Styela clava: one gene and its partner. The protein of the gene in region 2 interacts with the protein of the main gene of each other region in a biochemical or structural test. Links are inferred from orthologs where the notes say so. Each region holds a gene or a part of one and is shown on either strand. Other genes may lie near its edges.

What was found.
Region 1: the proteins of uncharacterized protein LOC120346365 (region 2) and ubiquitin-conjugating enzyme E2 W-like form a complex in vitro, tested with the Homo sapiens proteins (2 studies listed by BioGRID). The link is inferred for Styela clava from reciprocal best matches to the Homo sapiens genes RNF4 and UBE2W.

What each region holds. Positions count from the first base shown.
Region 1 is NC_135258.1:12,635,189-12,646,809, reverse strand, and holds ubiquitin-conjugating enzyme E2 W-like, read right to left. Parts: upstream 4,260-11,621; 5' UTR 4,139-4,259; coding exon 3,683-4,138; 3' UTR 2,558-3,682; downstream 1-2,557. Other genes in the region: dipeptidyl peptidase 3-like, read right to left, coding at 292-2,433; ethanolamine-phosphate phospho-lyase-like, read right to left, coding at 7,164-7,199, 8,247-8,355, 8,910-8,999, 9,268-9,422, 10,043-10,174, 11,620-11,621. UniProt on the Homo sapiens protein: Accepts ubiquitin from the E1 complex and catalyzes its covalent attachment to other proteins.
Region 2 is NC_135257.1:12,949,554-12,962,305, reverse strand, and holds uncharacterized protein LOC120346365, read left to right. Parts: upstream 1-6,125; 5' UTR 6,126-7,381; coding exon 7,382-7,461; intron 7,462-7,651; coding exon 7,652-7,791; intron 7,792-8,210; coding exon 8,211-8,281; intron 8,282-8,482; coding exon 8,483-8,602; intron 8,603-9,537; coding exon 9,538-9,693; 3' UTR 9,694-11,000; downstream 11,001-12,752. Other genes in the region: geranylgeranyl transferase type-1 subunit beta-like, read right to left, coding at 341-449, 839-941, 1,342-1,469, 2,269-2,401, 3,933-4,084, 4,540-4,610, 5,017-5,144, 5,683-5,789; uncharacterized protein LOC120346363, read right to left, coding at 11,865-12,113, 12,374-12,547. UniProt on the Homo sapiens protein: E3 ubiquitin-protein ligase which binds polysumoylated chains covalently attached to proteins and mediates 'Lys-6'-, 'Lys-11'-, 'Lys-48'- and 'Lys-63'-linked polyubiquitination of those substrates and their subsequent targeting to the proteasome for degradation.

The DNA of each region.
Region 1 (11,621 bases), on a different chromosome or scaffold from region 2:
GAATTTAAATATTACTCTATATTTGCATGTAGTATTATTGTGAAACATAGATATGCATATGTTTAAACTGTACAGAAGGCTAGTTGCACATATCACAAGCAAATGTTCTATTCAAGATTGAATAACAAATTCAAACAAAACTTTTTATATATAGTGGGGAGGAATGAAGAGTTTGAAAAATAGGTTAAAGAATGCACCAAAAAAAGAGGGAAACTACTTAACTAAGGCTTCCCAATACCAATGCATCATTGTCAGCTTGAACTGTCAGGATGATAAGTTGCTTGCTAAATGTTAACAGTTTTTCAACAATTCATAAATGTCATCATCTCTGAATCTATCTGCAAACGAATCTATCAGGCCTGAATGGGTGGCAGGATAAGAAACCAAATTAATTTCTTCACTTTTATTAATGGTGTTATCTTGAACAAATAACTTTCTTGGTTGACGTCGTAAGATGACGGTCTGTCTCAATTTTAACATGTCGGGTTGTATGTCAGATCCCACAGTTGCATAATTCTGCCACATAACTCTGGCAGTCTCACAATCGCCGTGCGATTTGTAGACTTGCAGTTTGCACAAGAAATCACCAATTGCTTTTTGACCTTTGGTCTCTATGAGTGAACGATCAAGAGTGATAAGAGCATCTGGCTTTCCGTCATCTTTGCATGTAGTGTGCATAACAGTCACAATACCAGCCTCCATCAAAACTCTGAGAATGACATATCTTGCTTGCATATGAGCTTGCCTCCATGTTTTATTTTCTGGAGTGTAGTACAGAAGGCCTTGAACTCCTGCCCAAACCATATTTAGCCAATTGACATAAATGATATCATCGGCAGATTGTCCTTCATGTCCAAAAATCTTGAGTGCATCCCTGTTGAGGCACAGGTATAATCCCACACATTCTGCCCTACATTCCTCATATGGTGAGGAAAGTTCAACAAATTTGCTATCCCACGTTTCACCAGATTTGTACCATTTTTTGACTAATTTATTTGTCAATGGATTGATGACTTTTTCTTTATCAAAATTCATGGTTCCATCTTCTTTTGTGCTGAACAATTTCCCACTGCCGTGTCCTAACAACTCATGCAATCCAACTTGAACCTCAAAAGATTTACTTTTGTAATCCTTGAACATAGCCTGGTCTTCATCGGAAAGAAACCATACTTTTTTTCCTACAGAATACGCTGCAGATAACACATTACCAAGTGATACATTCTTGAATCCTTCCGACTGACGAATGTCATCATAGTTTGGTATATTGATACCAGCAGGAATACCACTGCCAGCAAAAGCAAGAACATCAAGAGATGTAAAATCTGGACGCAAAAATGTATCTTTCTCATAATCCTTAGGCCATGGCAAATGTTTCAGGAGTGTATCAGATGATGCAACAAGATTTGCAAATTTTTTGCTCATTTCTTTGTTGACAACAGCAACAAATCCTTCAAATTCACCTCTTGTTCCAAAAGGATCCCTGTATGACTCAATGAACCCTATATAAGATTCTACAATAGGTCCTTGGTCTCGGATCCAAAATCGGGAACCTTCTTTATGTGCTTCGAGATCACCACTTGTGAAAGAACGAATGTATTCCTTAATCATAGAGGCTTCATTTTCATTAAGAGCATTAGCTTTCGCCTTTTCCAAATTTTCTACCACTTTTTTCATCAAAACACTATAATCCCCACGTTGAACTGTGATTGAGTGACCTTCAAATTCATGGTCACCTAAATAAGGAAGTTTATCACCACTATCATCAGTTTTAGAAACTGATGCGAGCCTGACTTCATACTTGTACTTTCCATCATCCAACTCTTTCTTAAATAGTCTAGTGTTATAGGCACTTATAGATTTTGCATCCAGAAATTTTTGTATCATTTCAGCATCAGCTTTGTCGCAATTGAGTGAGAAATACGCTGTGATTCCATTCCCCTTTAAACCCAGTTGTTTGTTGTTCTCATTCAGAGAATAAGTTCCTTCAGCACATGCTTGCATCAAGGACTCAATGAGCTCCGGTTCTTGACGATATGCATCTGTACACATGACCAACTTCATGAACTTCTCCTGAGGAACTCCAGGGATGAACTTTGTGTCACCAAATCCTTTATAGTTTCCCATGTTTGCCAGAAACCCAGCAATGTAAACATTGAATGCTGTTACATCTTCTGCTGAAAATCCACATTGTTCAACAGCAATTTTTGCAATTGCTTCTGCACTCTGCTTTGAAAATATTTTCATCAAAAGACAAAATATTTTTGGTGACTCGGGAGAAGTTTGGTGCAGGACAATCAGTCCACCATAGAATGATGCTTTTCCCAAATAATGTGAATACAATTTTTCACTCTTGCTCAAAGCTTTAAATGCTGTGACACAATCAAGGTGGCAAACCTCAGTTTCATTTTCTAGAATATGCTGTGAAACATCCATCTTCTTTACTGAAATTTGACGTATGAAAACCTTTTGCTGTAATTTCGGTGCAGATAAATTAATTGAATGTATCCTTCGCACAGATCGAAACAAGGTGGATGCCAGATTGCTTCCAGTCAAAATACTTAAAAAATAAAGAAACAAAAAATAAAACAAATTATGCGCATTATGAAAAATAGTGCAAGACAAAACAAAGATTGATATCAAATTGCGAAAAGGATAGAACTTTTTCTTAATTATTGTAGCTATTTTCAATTATACTCTGAATAAATTTGTCGCCATACCAAATACAGAATAAATCTGATCATGTGAATAATAAAAACATTGATCATACTTAGTCTAACAGTAAAATTTAAATAATATGCATGAAACCTTAAGCTAGCATACGAAACCAGTATACTTCAATTTTAGCAAAGCTCTGGACAGTAAAGAAATTGCATATGAGCAATTATTGAATTACTTTAGAGATTATATTGAACCAGTTTAACATACCGGTAATCGATCAGTTTCGCACAAACACGGTTGCAGTGGTTTAACTAGGACTCTAATTCAAAAAAGATTTTAATGGATATATAAGACAAGAATGGCTTAAGTTTAGAAAAACATAATTTCGCAAAGAAAATTTATCAAATATGCTATTGTTAAGAGAAGAAAATATATCAAAGAGTGTGTTTAAAATTTGACAAGACAATGAAGTAGAATATTATCTAGAAGCTGCTAAAATACTCAGAACATAGTGATTTTAAAATATTACATAAATTAAGCTATAGCACAGTATTGCATACAATTCACATAGCATTTATTGGTGCACTTTAAAATAATAAAATTAAACTTGGCCTGCAATAAGAGCGCAGTAAACTCTGCTCCAAAATAAAGCTTGAAACCTATAATAAGTTGAATAGGCTGCGCTTCGTGATGCCAAGTTTTTGTGACTACAAGTTTGAATCATGACATCTACATATATAACTCGCCGAAAAACGAATCCATTGTGTTAATCTTGGTTGTTTTCTTGATAGCTTATCAATTTATAAGCGATAAACAAAAATAAGAATTTGTATCAGAGTTTAAGGAATCTATGATATAATTAAAACAAAGGCCACATCAAATATTATAAATTGCACAACCTGTCTGTTTTTAAAACTCCTATACACATAGTTTAAAGTTCATTTAGAGTTTTGACAGACCCAAAAGAACACTGGTGATAAGCAGAAACAAAGCACACTTTGTTGTAAGATATATCTTGAAACAATTACACGTTATCATCATGATACCACCAACTTGTATCTTTAGGATTCTTGCTGGCCCTCATAACATATATTGAATTATCGGGAGGCCTTTTCTTTTCCTTACAACTGCTTAACATAGATATGATACTCAGACAAACAGACTCAATAGAAAGTGCTGGACTCCAATCTGTTGTCAATATGGATAAACATATATGTCCGTTGCTATAAATATGAGGATGAACTGGAATTTTGTTGCCAGTAAACATGACTTGAGGCGACTCAAATGGATATTTATCCCCAAATATGAATACAAGATTAAATACTTCCTTCGCATACAAAGTGTTGTCTGCACCAGTGAGTTCCATGGTTACGCGTGCCAATGAAGTGTCATCAGGGTTTAGAAGTTTCACACCTGGTGGTGGTCTCACTGCTAGATTTTGTATTTCTTTACTAATCCGTTTTTGCTTGAAATTAGCCATTACCAATATTCCTGTAGTGAGTAGCGTACAGTACTTTAATCCAAATCAATATTTGTAACTTCAAAGAGTCATATTACAGAATTAGCCTAAAAATAGCTAGCTATTTGATGATTTAAAATTGTAGAAAAGAATCATAAAATTGGTGTTAGACCTCTCAGGCAAGAATCGCCTCAAACAATTATCAATTGCACTTCGCTATTATTCCTGTATTAATGACAATTTCCGAATGATCCTGTGCTCCAGTACAATATGCAGATATGCTATGCCAGGTAATCAATGGAGTAGGAAATACCGTACATGCCACCTACAGTAATGTACGGTAGCGAATTAAACCCTAGTATCTGCGATACTCATGAATTTGTTTGTGAAGTGATAAACTTAAAACTATACTTAGGTTCCGACTTCCGACCTTACCTCTGTACCTAGTTATCGCAAGACAAACTCACACTAAAATGATGGAAAACTCCCGGTAGCATGGCCGGAACTTCCTCATTAAAACAAGACTACCGGTACTATGATACCACCACTGTGAAGTGAGTCGCACTCCATTGAATTCCCGTGATGAAAGATGCGATTTCCATATTTATCACGAGACTGCTGAAGAAGAAACGTTGATAAGGATAGGATTTACATACTGGCAAATTGTAACATTTGCTAATCAACTAGACATTAACGGCTAAGTACAGCTGAAAACTGACAAATAGCATACAAAACCATAACAATAAGCTAAAGTAAGGATAAGATTTACATATTTATCCCGGGGTAGAGGAAAGCCGATTTGACGGCTCAACCATATGGCGAACCACGTCCTCTCGTCCGGTTACCATTCCATGTCGGGTATGGGATTAGTTAGATATTTGTTTTTCCGAAGCATGGACTTCACCACCATGCCTGTAAATATCTTCGTGGGAATCTTTTCTGAATATAAATTTGGGGAAAAGTTGTCTGAGGGCTTATAAATTATTAACGTCACCATTATATCTTGCTGATTTTAGCCAATGTTACAGAAGTAAAAAGAAAGTGCACGTTCTCCGGTGGCTTGAATAGTAATAATATTTATACGAGAATATCGGTCGGAGACCGAAGAGTTATCGATCGTCGGTTAGGGGATCCCCCAAAACAGCGTTCTTACTCCATAGTGACACCGTGTGTCCCATCACTAATTAATTAATAACTCGCTAATTATACGACATAATTTATCAAAAATCAATAGGCTTCTGATCCGAGCTATGATGAATGCACATGCAAAATTTGGAGAAGATTCAACCTCGCTATCGTGAGATATCGCGTGCATCTAACAGACAAACAAACAAACAGACAAATACCTATCAACATACTTACCGATCGTAAGATCGATAACTAATGAGCTGGATATTACTAAGCCTCAGAATCGAACCAAGATTTGTACAATCCGCATAGCTCCGGTTTTTTGTTTTGTAAGTCTAAAAAACTTAGACGGTATGTTAGTCATTGGTTTAAATGAGGATTTTATGCCCATCAGTGCAATGGAGTAAGTATATTCCTAATAGCATATTGACACCTATTCTACACGAGGTGACAGCAAATTAAAATAGCACATATGTCACATGCACAGTTGTGAATGGCTTGCTAATAGAGGAGTCAATCAAAGTGGTTTAATTGGGCTAATTTAGTGTTGTGAGCACGAGAAATGAAATAATACTGCGCGCGAAAGCCGCGCTAATAATCCAGCTATTCAAAAATCGATTGTCATTGAATGAACAATCACTCGCAGTCGGTGGATTTTTACATTTATCTTCGGGAGTCGAAAGATGATAACATGTCAATCTTATTTTACGAAATATGGCCATCACCCGGTTCAAGTATTACCAACCCGTTCAGCTCAGTGTGATGCACCGTCTGACAAATTCAGCCTCAAGATGTAGGCAAGAAGCAGAATAATAAATTAAATCGTCAAAATCAAGCAAAGAAATGCTAAAATTTCAAATCCGACAATTCATTAGTGGAATTGGTACCTGTCGCAGAACAATATGTCAAACATTTCAGAGGACTTCCGCCGAACTCCTGGTAAAGAACCAATACAATAGAGCAGGGTGGTCCAAAGTTGTGGGCTCCGCGGGCCACAATAGTACCAAGAATAGGTAAACAGTGCAATACAAAACAAGCACTTCTATTGTGTAAACACTTGGTTATCTGGTATTGTCAACCTAGACTAATGGAATCCGCATCCGATGTTTAGTATTCTATCATGTTGCCTATGTTGTAAGCATATACGAATTCCCGACCAAAACGATAGAAATCCAGGTAACAATTTAGACTGCCCATCATATCTTCAACTTCGCTAGTTGCTTCAGCTAGCCATCATACTATTCAATTCAGTCACAGTAGTGATATACCAACAATATGTCAACGATTTTTCTGATTTATTTCATGAGAAGCTATTTAAACTACGTAGGTATTCCTAATTTTCTGGCGCTCAAAGACGCAGTTGGTCGATGCTCTCTAATTCTACAAAACATACCGTTTTATCAATCCCAATTATTTCATTCGCATCTGTCAGGCAGGTAAAAAAGACAAATTTTTCTTATGTTACGGATAACCCCAAAAATAATGAAACAACACAAAAAATATCTCAAAATGTTTTCTGTTAATTATGAAACTAATTAACATAAAATTATAACACAAAAATCAATTATTATAACAACAATTAATAACACGGTTAATGGTATTACAAGTAAGATTATTACGCTATTATGGCTGTAATAATTATATTATTTCATATTTTGATTTAAAAAGTGCATGTTTACAAATTGTACACAAAGGGCGAGTTATTTTACTTAAAAAAGTGATATACATCAACATGCTGTATTAGGTGCGACATATTTTGCTCATTTGAAAACTGCATTGCAGCGCGTTCAAATATTAATAGTACATATATGAATAGCTCTCGATGCATGAATTATAATGATAATTTTTGATCGACTCATAATATGTATAAATCTCTATAACGAGAAAAACACGTTGGTGTTCAGCTGTGTATCACGGATCAGCAGGAAATTTGAGACAGAGTATCGTCCAAAACCTACGAAAGAAATAGGATTAAATTTTATATTATAATCAAATATCTACAATACAGCAAATTATTAGTTTAAGTACATAGGTTTAATTGGTTCGGGAAATTATAATTTGTAGATCAACACTACAAGGCGGTAATAGATTATTGTATTACAGCAGTGGTCAGCAAACTTTATGTACTTGCGGGCCAAATATACACATTTCCAGTAGCGTGCGGGTCGCATTATTATCGTCTACGAACACTCGCCACATTAAACTTCAAAGTCAGGCGCACTCTCACTTTCTATTGCTGTGTCAAAGCCTGCCACAATGAGGCGTATATGTGGTCTTTTTCAATATATAATCAAACAATGCATTGTTTTTATCTACTTATTATATGTGAAGGATGATGTTTTTCCTGTGTCATGACCAAAGCGTTAAAATTAAATGGCAACTATTTTGCTCCGCGGTACGTCGTCCAAACAAATGACGATCTGACCAGCGAGTACGAAATTTATTCTTAGTGTAATACATTTTAAATAAATCTACTCACAGCAATATGTGTTTTTATAATGTTTTATAATGACGATTAACATTAAGTATCATAATAACTGCGATGCTGACTGTGCATATCAAGCAAACTGGATTTGGAATGCGCAAAAAAAGAAAAATATTTTTCCGTCCAATCACTTTGGAATGTTCGACCGCCGAAAACTTCCCTCCGTTTCCCAGACATTCCCTCGAACGAACCGACTTTTAATGCATAAAACAAAAATTGATCCTAAATTTATTGTTGCTTCCGCCCGGATTTATGTGGTAACAAGTGCTGCTGTACGGCGCTTGTTTTGTAATAACTGGAATCAATTCTATGTCAATTACTTGATGAACGTTCCGTCGTTGGTAACAAATTAAATTAAGTTACGCGGGAAATTAGTTCGCACGCCGCAGTTTGTCTATCCCTGCCTTACAGCGTTTTCTGTGACTGTGTTTTGTTCAAATTCAATGTAAATTTTTGCAGTAAGGCGAGTTTCTAGGCTTTTCTTTTATAAAGTTCTGCGTTATACATTATCCATACCTCAGCAAGTTGATCTGCGTTATCGTAAGTGAAGCACATGGGTGGCTTGAACTTCATGACGTTGTTGAATGGACCGTCCAGGCTCACCAATATGTACCGATCACGCATCCTGCAAAATCAGAAAAATATACGAATGATTGCTGAACACTCAGATAGAGATATCAGTCTTCTAATTTAGGTTTTGAAGATACTAACTAGCCATAGCAATTTATGGCTTTTCTCCTCATTCCATATAACGTGGCGAATAAAAAAAAAACTGATGGAAAGAAACCCATTAAAAACATTTGTTTTGAAGAGCAGGGTGCCACATAGTGTTGGGTGTCTTTGTAGAGGGCTACAAATCATGGTGAAGGTCTGGGAATCAGCGGCCTAAAGATTTGTTGATCGAATTGTAACTCTCCTCATCCACAACCTTGGCTTTTTGTAGTGATTGAAATAGTAGAATTCTGTTTAGCAACTGTTACGCCAAACAAGCGAGAATAAAATGAATGGTGGTGAAATCGAGAAGCGCATACAGGCCGGCGGCAGTCTACATATGTTACAATTAAAATAATATTTAACCCATAACCGTTTTTATTCACAACTGGTGCTTCCCAAAAAAAACTGAGCCAGTCAGTACTGCATTCCTTCATATTATAGCAACTACAATGCAAAGTGCTTTACCTATTATACATGACTTCAGCTTCTTCTGTTGCAGGTTCTTTCGTTTTTTCATCACGCACCAGTTCAACTCCAATGAAAAGTCCAACACCCCTGCCATGAAAAACATATTGTAATTTTCTACAATGAAAATTTAAATCAACTGCATCGACCAAGCTAGCTATTCTTGTAAAATGACAACTCAATGCAATAAAAATTTCATGTGACAACAAATAACAATATATCGTCACAAGGGAATTACAATATGAAACATTTAAAATCATGGCGGAAATTGAATCTATTTCGTCTGGTAAACGATAGCTGAATAAATCAAAAGCATAAGTCTGAAGTAATTTTGTCGGAAAAATCCAAAAATCCCGACCTCACGTCTCCGATAATTTTGTGTTTTTTTTTGAGCAATTCAAACTTCTCAAGAAGATATTTTCCAACAGAAGATGCGTTTTCCATTAAATTTTCATTTTCAATGATATCCATCACCGTGTTGGCGATTGTACATGACACCGGGTTTCCGCCGAACTAAAAAGTACAGAACAATATGTCATATAATGATAGAGGAGGTCATCCATGTTCTGTATCGCAGTTCGTAAATGAGCAAAAAAACATTAACTATTCAAGGATACAAACAATAATTTCTTAAGTTCGAAAATATGAAATCATTGCCCGTAAAAGTACTACATGGACAATCTCACATTGCGACATAGAATACCAGTGTAAAAATCACGATGCGATACGGGCTTATTTAAACCTTAGAGAATTGAGCTCGATGTTTAAATTCAACTTTTCAAAGTGTTATAGTAACTGATGAATCAACCATTTGCTAAAAGCCAATTGCTTTCGACTTTCGAGATGTATAGCAGAACCTATTTTTCGATATTGATTAGAAAATGCGTTAAAATCATAAATACCATCTTAAGAGGTCGAGTGTTTGAGTCATTTCAAAACAAGTCATTGTCGTATATCCCTTTGCGGTAATTTTCTTGATTTAAAACCAGTACAAGCCCAGTCAATGTATGTTTATAGTATGAATTAATCTCATGACGTCAAATTTTGGTGTTTAGTGTCAGCTCTCATAACAGTGTGTAATTTCCATCGCGATTGCTAACCGCGTGAAAACACAGGGTTGCTGACATACATACCGTGTTGAAATAAGAAGGCAATTTGTTAGTAAGACTGTCTGCAATCTCTTTTGTTGTAATAACGGCTGACACAGGATGACCATTTCCCATCGGTTTCCCAACTGTAACGATGTCTGGAATGACATCTGGGCCCTTAAACCAAAATAAAAACAAGAACTAGCTAACACCTTTGAAAATGTGGGTCGAGGACTGAATTTAATAATCACCATATTGGTATTCAATTGTATGAAAGATGACTAACATAAGGTACGCGGTAGCATTTTAAAAGTAGAACCTTGCGCACCATCTTATTTGATTATGTTTCGACTGATTATTCTGGGGTAAAGAGGGTCGTAAACATGTTGTGCAAATTACTCAAGCTGTAAATTGCTGAAAGAACCCAATGTTGATTGAGTTTATGATGCACTTTCTTACAATCGTGTTGACGAAGATTAAATAATCAAATTCGAATAACGTCAAAGCAGTCGACAAGGTTTTTTAGTCGACGAGGCTTTTTAGTCAAGTACTGTTACATAAATGACAAAAATTGTGATGTGACATTGTATTTCTTTGTTCATCACACCATATTTTGATACAACATATTACTTGTTAGTTGTTGTGTTTCACAAGAAATGAACCCCAAGAATGATCAAACCGCTTTCTAATCTGATTTTAGAAAATACAAAGCAGTTTGCAGCATTGTTATGCAAAAACACACAAGATTTACAACAAATTTTGAGCCCGGAAAAACAGTTGTCATCCTGTTTCGCCTGCATGCTATTGACGCAATTGACAAGCGTTACCTAGGTCCTAGAGACCTACACTGTTGAAACTCGAATGAACTTCTATGGATATACATACAAACTTCAAAATGAATCGAATATAAAAGTGATGTACTATTCAAACATAAACAGGCGACGACAACCAGTTTTATGTTAACTGAAATACTTGGTAAACACATACTTGCTCGCCTGAGTAGCGCAATGTTTGGGGTGCAAACTAATATCTCTCAGAATTCTAACGCATTATCTTCATTAATATTTACCTTACAGTTTTATCTAATATTTGGCAAAGATGATACTACGAAACGCGAATAAAAAAGCGTCGCATGGATAACGGTACTCAAATTCTTGATATTGATTGGGCATTGAGAACAGATAGTACACACCCCTTTACCACGTGATTAACACTCTATAATCATTAACACACGCAGACTGTCTTAAATTTGTTCAACTAATAAATTACATTATTTATAATCGTATAGATAATATAAGGTCATTCAACCCATCTAAGGTGTGTTTTCTTTGCCAAAAAGTTGATTTATCCCAGAGACTAATGAGGCTTCGGAGTTTTCTAATGCCTATTCGCTATTTCACGTGCCAATATTAAAATATTACATTAAAATATTTATTTATTACTACTAAGAATTACTAATCTACTGATAATATTTAGCATAGAATTGAAAAACAACATCATTAAGACTTTCAAGTAATTACTCAAATTTCGCAGCAAAGTGATTTATTTTTATTCGAAAATGGGCGTGGTGTATCGTTTGAATTAATGCAGAGCCAATCGGAAAAGGGCAAACTCCATTTTACCT
Region 2 (12,752 bases):
CCAAGCACTTTATTTATAGCGTTCTGCACAAAGTTTGAGAAGAGCTATAATAAAAGCTAAACGATTGTGCTACTTGTTTTATGTCACAAAATATATCTGAAAATCTGTTCATCAATCAGTTATACATTAAAGTGAGTTATTCTCAGAGTACAAAACTTTTTCCTCGCTTATATATACTATACCTGTTTCAAGGTTTCCTGAATGACCTCATAATTTCATTAGCGGTGGAATTTTCAGTACTCAAATTTCATTACATAAATACCGGTATGCAACAAGCAATTCAAATATTGGTTTAAAAAGAGAAAACAGCATTTAGTATCAAAGATTAATATTAGGTTACCTGGATGGCTTTGTGGCCATTTACCAAAACCGCCTATAACTGAATCTTGCGTTGATATAATATACTGTTCATTTTCATGCCAGTCACACAGTTCCAAAGATCCGATCAACTACAGAAAATATATTGTAGATGAATTTAGGAACATAAATGGATAATAGTTAGAAAAATAGTATCAAAATAAAATGATACATAAGTCTGTTATACTGTTTTACATAATATACATTCGAACAACCCAAGCAGTGCGACCTTTTCCATAAAACTGCAAAATGTGAAGGCCCTTTTGAGAGATAGCAAGTGTAAAAAGACCAGATGAACAAAGTATGGAATAAGAAAAATAAAATATTCTAAGTGAAGACGCAATCAGGTGTCGCGAAAAATTTTGCAAGCTTGAAACTAGTTTTTGATCAATCATATCCACAAATGGATATTCTTTGAAAGCATTCGATGGAGCCACAACAATACTCCATAATCGACTTTCTCACTGAAAAAAAAAATCACCTTCAATGAAGCACCAATCCAGAAGGAATAGCAAGTGTCATCATCTTTATGGGGTCTTCCATGAAATCCTGATTTTTGTCTGTTCAAACACCACCTTTGTAATCTGAAGACATGATAAGTCATTGGAATCACACCCGCAGGTATTTGATCAGTGCAACACAGAAAAGCCTAATTGTCACACTTCCAAAAATTAATTATACCAGATTGTGGAGTGTTTTAAAAATTATATCAGTGAAGAAAGTCTTTTTTAGATTTCAAGCCTAGTCTATTGCAAAGGTCTTAACCTTTTATTCACCGGTGCACATTAACTGGTGCAGGTTATCTATATGAAGTTTCTAAAAAACAGAAACTTGATAATTTTAGTAGCATTATTGGTTGACGAACAAAATTTCAACGTCACCATAAGCCCTATTCCAAGCTGAGTTGATGAAAAACTATTGCTTTATTGCAAATGAAAAGTCGGGATTACTCCAAGGTTTTAAAATAATCTATACAATACAAACCTCATAATTTCCTTCTGTGAAAATGCATTATGAAGTTGATTTAATAATAAAAGAGAAGATATTGCACAATAAGTTGAACCACCGTGACTTTCCTGGCCAGGTCCTTGACCAAAACCACCATCGTATGACTGAAATTTTATAATGCATAAAAGCGTTATCAAACTAGAAGATTAATAAGCCGAAAGTTCAGCGGGCTAGAAAAATAACATTTTCAGCTTGATGCATATATGCTTACTAAATTCATTCTCTGTTTTATAGAGTGTTTTCAGAAGTTTCATTAAGAGGGTCAATAATTGAACTTTATCTGGAGGTTGTTAATTGAATCTTCTTTTGACAATTCATTAACCACTAATATTTCATTCCTAAATTGTGGACAATCAATACCTGATTAACGTAAATGGACAACCGAACCAAAAAAATAAATAACCAAAAATATCTTCAACATAAAAACACTGAAGTATGATAAATAATGCTCTCTTTGGTAAAAAAACATGACATAGGGGGCAAAAATCTCATTAAAACTCAATAGTGAATAAGCATTGAAGCTCTAAAAAAACATTTTTGAAAAGAAACTTTTCAAGTTAAATTTAGGGGCTCCCGAAGTATGCGAACCAAGATGGCGGACATCGGAATGTAATATGTGTACTAGGTTAGGGTTAGGCCATAATTTTAGGTATCAATACTACATAATTTTAGGTATCAATACTACGGGAGGCTCTTGGCTAGTCTTCGAACTGATAATAGGACTAAAATAAGGAAAAATGGAAAAAAATTATCGCCTAACCCTAACCTGTTACCCATGTTACGTTCCGATGTCCGCCATCTTGGTTCACATAATTCGGGAGCACCTAAATTTATTATTTATCATTTGTGCTGGTGTAGCACTACCTGACTTTTAAAAATAACAATTCCCGTACTTACTATTACCTTAGATTTTTTGATATAGCTTACAGCGAGACTTTCATTTATTGGTGAAAAATCATCAAGCATTGTACAGATGCAACTGGCACAATAAATAAATCTCATGTCATTCTCACTTCCATCCAAGGTTGATTCAAAGCTGCATAGAGAAGACAAAATTGAATGGAAATATCAATATCGAAGAAAATACCAAAATTGTTGATCTATGTTTGCGAAAAATTGATGGTCAAATATACTCATGCATATGATGTCATACTGTTATTGGGCACCAGCCAATCAAAATTGATCGTCAGAAAATGCGCTCTCCACTGGTCAAATAATGCTCCAGGGAAGGCCTGCCCAACCTTTTTTGTCTCGCGGGCCACTTTCACGTGACGAAATCAATCGTGGGCCGCAGACGTTTGTACCAAACATTAATAATACCATTCAAGTCCTGATTTCGGTGTAGGTAATTACATAATACAGAAAAGGCGAGTCTATTAACATAAAATCAATCAAATTAATAATTGCTTTCTGGTTACTGGGTAGGGCTGGCAAATTATACGAATATCAAGTCGAATATTAGAATAGCATTTTACTATTCGAATATCTGGTAAAAGGGTCGTGGACATAACACCCGCGAGGGACCTATTCAAAGATTTAATCATTACACAACACAGCTGCTGTTTTTTGACGGCCACGCAAGAAACACACACACCACGTCAAAATTGAGTGTTATATTTGCGTTTTTAGTGTTTTTATTCATTCATTTTCAGTAGCTACGATACTGCTTTAATGTTTAAATGAGCATAATGTGCGCCAATGTCGCGTTTTAGTGGGTTGTTTCGTAAATTTGAAACACCAATACAAGTATTTAATGAAGTACCATAACGAAGATTTCTAAACGAATAGTCGATATATACTGATTTGTGACTAAAAAGTAGCAACGCCATTACGTCAATTTTATCAGAACTATTGACGGATAAGCAGTGACGACATTTCCAAAATCTTATTCAACGTGAACTCAACATGTACAAAAGTACAAACAGAAAAAGACACAAGTCCGGGGACCAGTACCCAAGATATTGTTGACTTTTTATTTTACGTTGGCGATGAAGACGATTAAAGCCGACACAAAAGAAAGCAACCAGAATGAAATTTATTTGCTTAGGCTCCAAGTTCATTCCTATAATTGCGCTCAGCGTTCGTTCTCAATGATAGCACAATATCTTTGAGTTCGTCGAACAGAACGCACAGTTTTGCGAGAAATAAAGAAAAATGACGTTGATGCCCACCACGGTGCAAGACTTAACACATATTAATAATAAGAACCGGCATTTGAATGTAGATAGATGGCAGGAATAATTACACCAAAATCACGAAAGATATATATGTATAGTAAAAAGTATGTAAAAATGTATAGTAAAAATTTAAAAAGTCTGCTTACAAACTTTATAGGGCGGGCCGCGAAAAACAGTTCGGCTGACCGCATGCGGAGTGTGAAAAAAATTCAATAAAAATATAAAAACCTTCAAATAAGCATTTAATTACAATTGCCCAAATGAGTAAAAACTTTAAAAAGATGGCAATTTTAGAAGAGAAAAGTGTTTTTTTCAACCGCAAAATCACCCCCATTCCTTCAATATTAGCCTATACCATAGCTTCAAATGAATTTGACAAAATTCAGTCACCTGCCATCTTTTAATTGTAAAGCTTTCAATCCCTCCAAACATGCAGTTTTATCAACTCTGGACAAGTCATCCCCAAGAATAATTAGACATGCAAGTCCAGTATATGTCATCGCTATGTGTCCACTATCAAAGGTATGTGCCACTTCAGCTACCTATATAACAAATCACTTATTTAGAAATAAAAAGAAATGGTATATTTTTGATATTACAATTTCTAGATACTGTTAAACAGCAACAGAACTTAGGAAAATAAAAGTCGCATAAACAAGCCATTTTATAATTTCAAATGTGAATGGTTGATCTAATTTCAGATATGTGCACACAAGGTGTATAGACCATCTCTAGGTTATGCAAAGGTACGTGTTGGTGTAATTCAACAAAATACCCTGTGTTATCATTAGTCAACAAAAAGGTTGGGTAGGTACTTCATAGTAAGATACAAAAGGAGTATGAGGTAGCTTTAAATAATCCAGAAATTCATATAAAGTATTCAAAAAACCATGACATAATAATTTCACACATTTTTTTTTTGATTTTTCAATCTTCCAGAACAAATTAATTGCTCATTAATCAAGTCAAACAATTTAATTAACAAAGTTTCGTGCACCTTTATGTCCTTATGTGTGGTCACTCCATTTGTAGTTGAACCTCGAAACCCACATTTTCGTTTATTGCTTCCTGAAAACAGTCAAATGTAACTTAAACAAGAAGACTTGAACAACATTACTAGTGATAGGATCCTCACTCAGAGTTACAAATTTAATGTTAAATTAAAAGAAAACAGGCTAATTTATTTGATTTGAAACCAAAACTTATTTCTCACAATTTGTTCAAATAAATGATATGATTACGAGTTCGGGGACTGTCTGTTAGCCAAGTGAATATACCCCCTACCCATAGGTTTCAGTCCTTTTACATAATTTGATGTAAAATAGGCGAACAAAATTAGTTACTTCCATATTGGTACACACATTTCTGGAGCGCCCAATAAAAAGCACCAATTAGTGAATTTCAAATTTTTAGAAATAACAGTTGCTCAATCTTCTCAATATCTTTGTTTTAAAATATTATGACATGAAGTTACCATGCTTATCTGGAACAACTTGAAGACTATAGATCCAATCAATAATCTCTTTCTTAGTTGATGAAGACAACTTATTCAAAGAATTCAATACATCTAGTCCAGATACCGCGAAGAACGCAATGGTCAACCTGTGTATTGAAAAATTACTATTGATTATTTCCATAATTAAATTAGAGATTTGGTATATAAAAATTGCTATTTTACAAAATATCATTTTAATTCAAGTATATTTATATAGCAGTGTTTGGCTATTTCTATATTAAATTGAATATTCAGTAAAAAGGGGGCAACAAATGTGAAGTAGGTACTGTAGTGTAACTAACTTTTCAAAGACATACAGACATAGGTATTCCATTCATATCAAATCAATTGAACTTGACAGACTGCTACAAAATTCAAGCAATAACAATAGTAGTGTTTTCGTGTTGTTGTTTTTTGCAATATTCTGTTTTGAAATAAATTTTTTTTGGAAGACTTGAACTACCGGTAACACTGTACAGTACGGTAGCCTACCTAATAAATAATATGGTACTGTAATATTAATAATACTATATAAATATTGGCATATGTAGTCTTTGAGAAATAATAAACAATCACTATTTATCATTGTAGTCTATATTTTATTGATACAGGAATACCTAAATAACGTATTCAATATTTGCTCACCTGTTGGAGTCCAAAACCTCATATCGACTGGGCAAAACTTGTAATGTTCTTGTGAAAAATCGAATGTGCTTGTCCTTGTCAAACTTCAAGTTGTTTGATTCTGCCATACTTTCAATGATGTGTAAATTGAGTCAGTGTGTAGACTGTCACCAAGCCGACAAAGCAGGACCTCTAGTTCTAGATTATCAGCAACACTATTGGTCGACTCTATTCCTTTCGCTCCTGCACCCCGTGAATCAATTCACCAAGCCCAAGCAATGCAGAAACGAACTCTTGCGCCAACTAGCGCATGGACAATATTGAATAACCAGAAAAGGAAACTAACGAAAGAACATTTTTTTCCGAGTGGACAGCAAATTCCAGAAATCAGGAAGTTGCGAACTGGCTTACCTAGTTCCCAAAAGTCTGAAAGTCTTCGAACGAGAATAATGACTGAAATTTTTACTTACGAGTGGGGTTGTTGAAATCACTGAAGTACACAAATCTAAAAAGCGGATGAAACTTCTTTCAGTAGAGTGGGCGGCTGCAGTTACTAACAGCTGAAATCAAAACAGAAGAATTATCCGTGGATGCTTTTTTTCGACAGAGCAAAGTGGCTGAAGTCGCTAAAATGTTGAAATCTGAAATGTCTTCGTACAGAGGGAGGCTGTTGATTTTTGGTCTTTAGATACAGAGATAACTGAAATGTATTGTAGTTATACCGGTACCGTAACATCTCAGCAATTTATTTTTTGTATTCAATTACTGAATTAGTGCAGTATTTTGAATAATCGAACACGGAACAATTTATAATCACGATACTGTTATATCAGAGTATACAGATGTTCGATGTATTTTAAAAAAAATTACCTTATCTTTATCCTATTTTCAGACTACAATTCTACAAGAATATAAATATAAGACTTATTATCTGCCCTCCACCATTATTTTATAAATTTTTGAATTTGTATAAGTAATTTGTTTTCAGTCCTTTAAAGCCTTACTGGGCTTGGCATGTTGGAGTGAATTTTGTTGTCATTATACGACTTTGCAGAAAATGTAATGATATCCATTTAAAAATTTTTTATTAAGGAAGTACCGTACTATAACAGGCTGTCATTTTCAAGTTACTTATGCCAGTACAGCAGTATGCTAGGTTTATTACACCTCTAGCACACAGTTTATCGATATTCGAGCTGTCGGTTGAATGTTTGGGTCCGGTATAGTTTATATCACATGCACTTCTGGTTGGTCTGGCTCGACAATTATTGCATATGTCAATCCTAACCCCTACCTGACTACGTCACCAAAATATTACGTCACTACGACGCCACAGTAGCGTAATAAATACCTCCAAAGTGTACATATGGTCGTCCAACATGCGCAGATGAAATCGAGCAAGCTATTTCTCTCGTTTTCTCGTTGCAACGAACCCGATATGAGAGAAGGCTGACGTTAGTGAGTTCGGTATAGTCTGCGCAGATGCCATTTCGGACGATGGTAGCTAAACTTGGCAAGCTCTATGACGTGATTGTGAAGTCGTAGTGACATAATTTTTGGATGACATAGTCAAGTGGGAGCTAGGAATAACATGTACAAAAAAACCGAAAGTACTTGTGGTACTAAACTATACTAGACCCAAATGTTTATCCTCACTTCAAACTTTATTCCAAGCTGACTTGTTTATCTATAAGCTATACTATAGCTCTGTTATTGTCGAATGATGACTGAAAACTCACCCCAAATTATAATTGGGAATAATATTGTCACAGACAGTGGGAGAAGTCGACGACTCAGAAGGTAAGCAAATTTATCCCTTTTTCTCATTTTCATACATTTTTTTCTCTGAAATTATTTAGGTTTTTGCATTGTGCATAACAATTATGAATGTCTATTTCAACCCATAAAATCTATTTTTTCCAATTTAACAAATATGATTTATTTGTTTCTCCAAAACAATTTTTTAAAGTTTGTAACGAATATTGTTTAGAAGAAATATGAGGAGAAGTTCTGCTGACATAATCGTTCTAGATAGTCCATCAAGTCCAACCACAACAAATAGTTCTGTAATACCGAGACGTCGTAGAAGAATGCTTCCAGAGTTGAACACCGACGCAGATACTAGCATTGGTAAATTTCAATGAGTCTCTGTATGCTCTTTTGTTTATCTCCAGCTGTATTTTTAACATAGGCTACATACGGTATGTTTTTTTTTTAAAAGATTAATAATTGGGTACTCAAAAAACAGTATGATGTTTTAGTGTGAAGCTAAATCAGTTTTTCATTGAGGTAGTTTTATAGACTAGTTTTTCAAGGGATATTCTTTCAGGTTTTATCAATAATTCCAGCACATTCATAATGACTTTTCATTGAAGTCAATTGCTTCTCCCTTTTTAACACTTATACATCTTCACGCTGAACGAGAATCTTGTCAAGTAGCACCTGATATGTAATGAGCTACCAAGGTGAAGAAACAACCAGTTTGCCAAAATAATTCAGGACTTCAACAGGTTATAAAATCATTTGTACATGCCTTGTATTTTTTCTAGTTGATTTGACCTGTTCTCCAGATGCTATTGTTGATCTAACCTCACCAGATTTTAACACAGCAACAAGAGAGGTTGGTATATGTCAAAGCAGTAAAAAATTGTTTGTTTTATAATATGATACTAACTGCTATAAGAAAGGAGTTGTACCCTTCAGATTTTAAAATTTGTGTGGGCTATATACTTATGCCTTCGAAGCCTTTTGTCGGATAAAAGCAGTCAAATCAGCTCAGCACTTTTAACTGGCATTATTTTTTTTTTCTATTTTACATTAGCCTGCGCCAGTAACATTTGAAATCAGTGATGGAGAGGAGGAACTAAATGAATCTGTCGAAAGTCCAACTCCCACACAACCTGCGCTGTCGTGTCCTGTTTGTTTAGAAAGGTTCTCTAAGGTGCTGTACTTTTTCTAATTTACTTTTGAGGCTACTACTAATTTAATCATCTTAGTGGGAACTTGAAACTATTGTATGAGCAATATTGGCTATGTTTTTCTATGTTTGGGTTTCCCAACCAGTCCTCTATAGTTCAGTTTTGTCAATAAGCTTGTTATGTTATGAAATCAATCATTGTTATACTGATAATATTCGGATACAGATATCATATATTGTTGTGATATTTGCTTTATTCATCTGGGCTCTGTACTCCTGTTATTCTAAACAAAGCTTTCATATAACGCTGACACACTTGATTGTTTACAACAGGGGTCGGCAACCTACGGCCCGCGAATCCGGCCGGCGACGCTTCACTGAATTATAGGAACAAATTATAGCTGTTTTGTCGATTATATTGTTTACGCAAAAGAATTTACGTGTAGACTAAATTATATTATAACGCAATAAATATATAATTCACCATTACTCGTTTAATGAGCGTATAATTTAATTATAATTTAGACAAATGGCAACAAAACGCAGAAAAGTTAATGCTAAGTGCAAATGGTTTAATGGCGCAAAAAAAATTCAAATGGTCAGTCTTCGTGCGCTGCTTAAAATTTAACTTATGATCTGTGTGATAAAATGTGATTCATCGGTCATCCATTCAATTTTTAACTTTCTAAAAATATGTGCGGCCTGCCAATGACTTGCAACCTTTAATTTTGGCCCGCGAGCGACAAAAGGTTGCCGACCCCTGGTTTTTACAACTTTATATATGTTATTGACTTGTATCACAAACACTATTTCATAATTTACAATGGTGGATTGACTATTCACAATGTTGAATACTCATCTGTTTTTTGCATGAAACTATTATATAAATCCATTAATGAATGCCATTTTTGAATTGTATTGATTATGCAAATGACTCATGGCAATATTCCTTTTTCCAGATTGTTCGAAATGGAGGTCAAGTAAAATCGACAATATGTGGTCATATATTTTGTAACGTTTGCATAGCAACTGCAATACATCATAATAAAAAATGCCCAACTTGCCGAAAGAAATTGGATTCTAGGAAAGTACATACTCTATACTTGCCCGTTTGAAAAAAACTTGTTCTTGCTGAATTGACTCAAAGTCATAAAAAGCTAGTTTCTTGTTTGAAATGCACTTTTTTCTCACATTCCTTCCTTGTGTAAGTTTTTTGTGTTTCCTATCATTGCATATTTAGACTAAAAGCTGCATTTTTTCAAAATGGCGACTTTTAGCAAGCGCAGGGTAAAGTTGAAGTTTTTCTGCCTTTGACAAAATGTGATTTTTCCACTCTAAAGGCTCTAAAATATATCTTGTGTTGTGATCACTGCCTATCATATGTTGGGCATCCATCTGCTCATTTAGTGTCATGGTTGTTATTACTAATTTAAACACATTCAAAATTGGATCTTGTATGAAGCGTCCATATTTTTTTTCCGAAATTCAGAAAAAATATTTTCAAATATAAAATATACTTTGAATGTGGCTCTATCAACAAACAACATACACAATTCATTGTATATTTACAAAGATTGATGTTTATACCACTGAAATTTTAACACCAGACGGTATTGAGATTGGTTTACTGTTTGTTTACAGTTGTCAGAATTAAGGCAAAGCAGTTATTATTCGTGGAATATTTAGTTAGATGTCAGAATAACAATTCACTATTGATAACTTTAAAATCAAGGTCCACTATATCGAATATAATGTATTTTTATTATTCGATTTATTTTGAACATCTATTCTTCAATTACTGAATATTTTCATGATACAAGTAAATAATTCTCAATTGGATTTTGGCACAGTCTTGTTATACATGTTTTGTAGCGTTATGCTATGAAGGATGTTCCCTGTTGATTGATTACTGTAATTATTGGTATTGCATCTCATAACAGTGTTTGTTATGGTTCATTTGTCTTCACCATATGAATGTGTGTATGATGCACGCAAATTCTCACAGTAGCAATTCCTATTTAAACTTTGCCAAATAAAACCCTTCCATTGATAACACTGCATAAAGGGTCTTTTTGGATGATCTCTGCTAGGCAGAAATGTATAAAACCTGTGAATTCTTTATTGTCGCTTGTTATATTCTATTCAAATTTCTTTGTTGTAAGTTGAACAAAACCATTGAAACTATAGGACTGGCATATTTTTCAATGAACAAGTTGCATGACTGCCTTTCACTCTCAAGCTTTCGGACACATTGTGAAACTTGTTTTTGTGCGTATACTTATATTACTGGCGAAATTGTCTTAGCAACTATTCATTTCTGAGATGGCAGGTTATATGAGCTGCTGTGCTGCTCTTTTACTATGAAATTTTTTTCTGTGACACAATAAAAAACCTTACGGATTGACTGGTAAATCCATATAAATCAATATAGATTTTAACTCTTTTGACAGATTATCTCAAGCTCTCAACTACAAGAGCAGAGATTTTAGGTGGCATTAACATGGCATTTGAAAACAATTAGAGTCAATCTTGTCAGGCAACAGCTGATTGAAAACTAGTTCAAGTGAAAATTTGATTATTTACATGGCTTTTCCCAATCAACCGATGGTAGGCTCACTATTGGCGACCTGAATACATATTAAGCAGGATCAATATGATGTGCTGACGCTTTGGCATATAATAAGTAGTATAGCCACAGACGAAGGCATGTTTTTAACTCTGAAACGCCCAAAATAATTTATTATAGTCTGTTTCACTCACGACCATGACTTGCGGAGTCGCGGAAAATTCGCAATAGACAAAAAATCTGTCTCTCGGCTGAGGGAAAAAAACTAGACTGGAACTAGACACCAGTCCCGAACACCGAGAAAATCAAAATTTGGTAGTGAATACTTGGGCGTTTGAATGTCTACGTTTCCGACTCCAGATAATTTAGACTCCGTCTCACAGGAGTTTGAAAACACGACTCTTGACTCTAGAGAAAATATATTCGAAATTCTCGATTCCACAGCACTGCTCACGATCTCCGAATCGGACACTTGGTTGGGACGCAGCAACAAAGTCTCGTTTTCTACCAATTGAAGCCTTAAAAAATACAGTTTTAAGTTTAAGTAATTTTCGGAGAAAGTCGTGTAACCAATTTCCTTATAACTTAGATGGTGTTGTTATTGTTTGTGATAACAAGATTTTTTCCACCTTCCTGCCTCGAAGAATATCTTTTGAAATAACACACCAGTTAATGAAATTCTATATTTTTTGGTAGCGAGCCAAATAATAAAAGATTTTATTATTCCTTTTTCGCCCTCCGTTTTTTCTTCCGTGACGTCTGATTTTCTGTAAATTGAAGCATACTTTTCTTAATAGCTTCTCGAGATAGATATTTATCGTTCGTATCATCATCATCTCCGAAGAAATCCTCTGTCATCAACAAGTCATCTTCATCAGCTATGCAGACCCGCGTATTGCCTGGTGCGCTGCTTGTAGCGGTCACAAGCAGTTCTTGACCTTCTTCAGTGGGAAATTCAGCAAGGAGATCCTGTGAAAATGTGTAATCATTCTACTCGTTGTCCAAGCAAGGCTTTCGAAAAGCTTATGATTAAATAGTCGAATACTCCATCAAATATACCTAGCAGCATGTTGGAAAATTCGTGTTTGAATATGTGGGTGTGAAGCCCCATGGCAGGTAAGGTGTAAAATTTCCATATTTGTCGCGGGTAATTAATGACATCTATCGTTTTTGTTGATTCGGTTCATTGGAATCTATGTACCGTAGGCTAATCTATCAATTCTACTTACTTCTTTGGTTTGACGAAAGGTTTCTGCCATTATTTGGAGTTCTTTGAGTTTATCTCCACATGCGGATAAAAGTCCTGCTACGTCGTTCGTTCGAACTCTCATTAAATCCCCCGATGAAACTACCGCGTCGAGTGGGGGTATTCTCGCATTGCGTTTACGAACATGCTTCGGTATCTAAATAATTAGCAAACGAGAATGTGATAAATCTTATTGATTAACTGGGAATGCATCACCAACTTTGGACAATGGGGACAATATCCCCAAGCGGTGACAGAAAAGTTCGTTGATTATTGAATTTAAAATTTTATTATTCTTTGCTGATGATGATCCGATCCAAAATAGGTACGCTGTTTTTAAAGGACAATATTATAGTCTATAG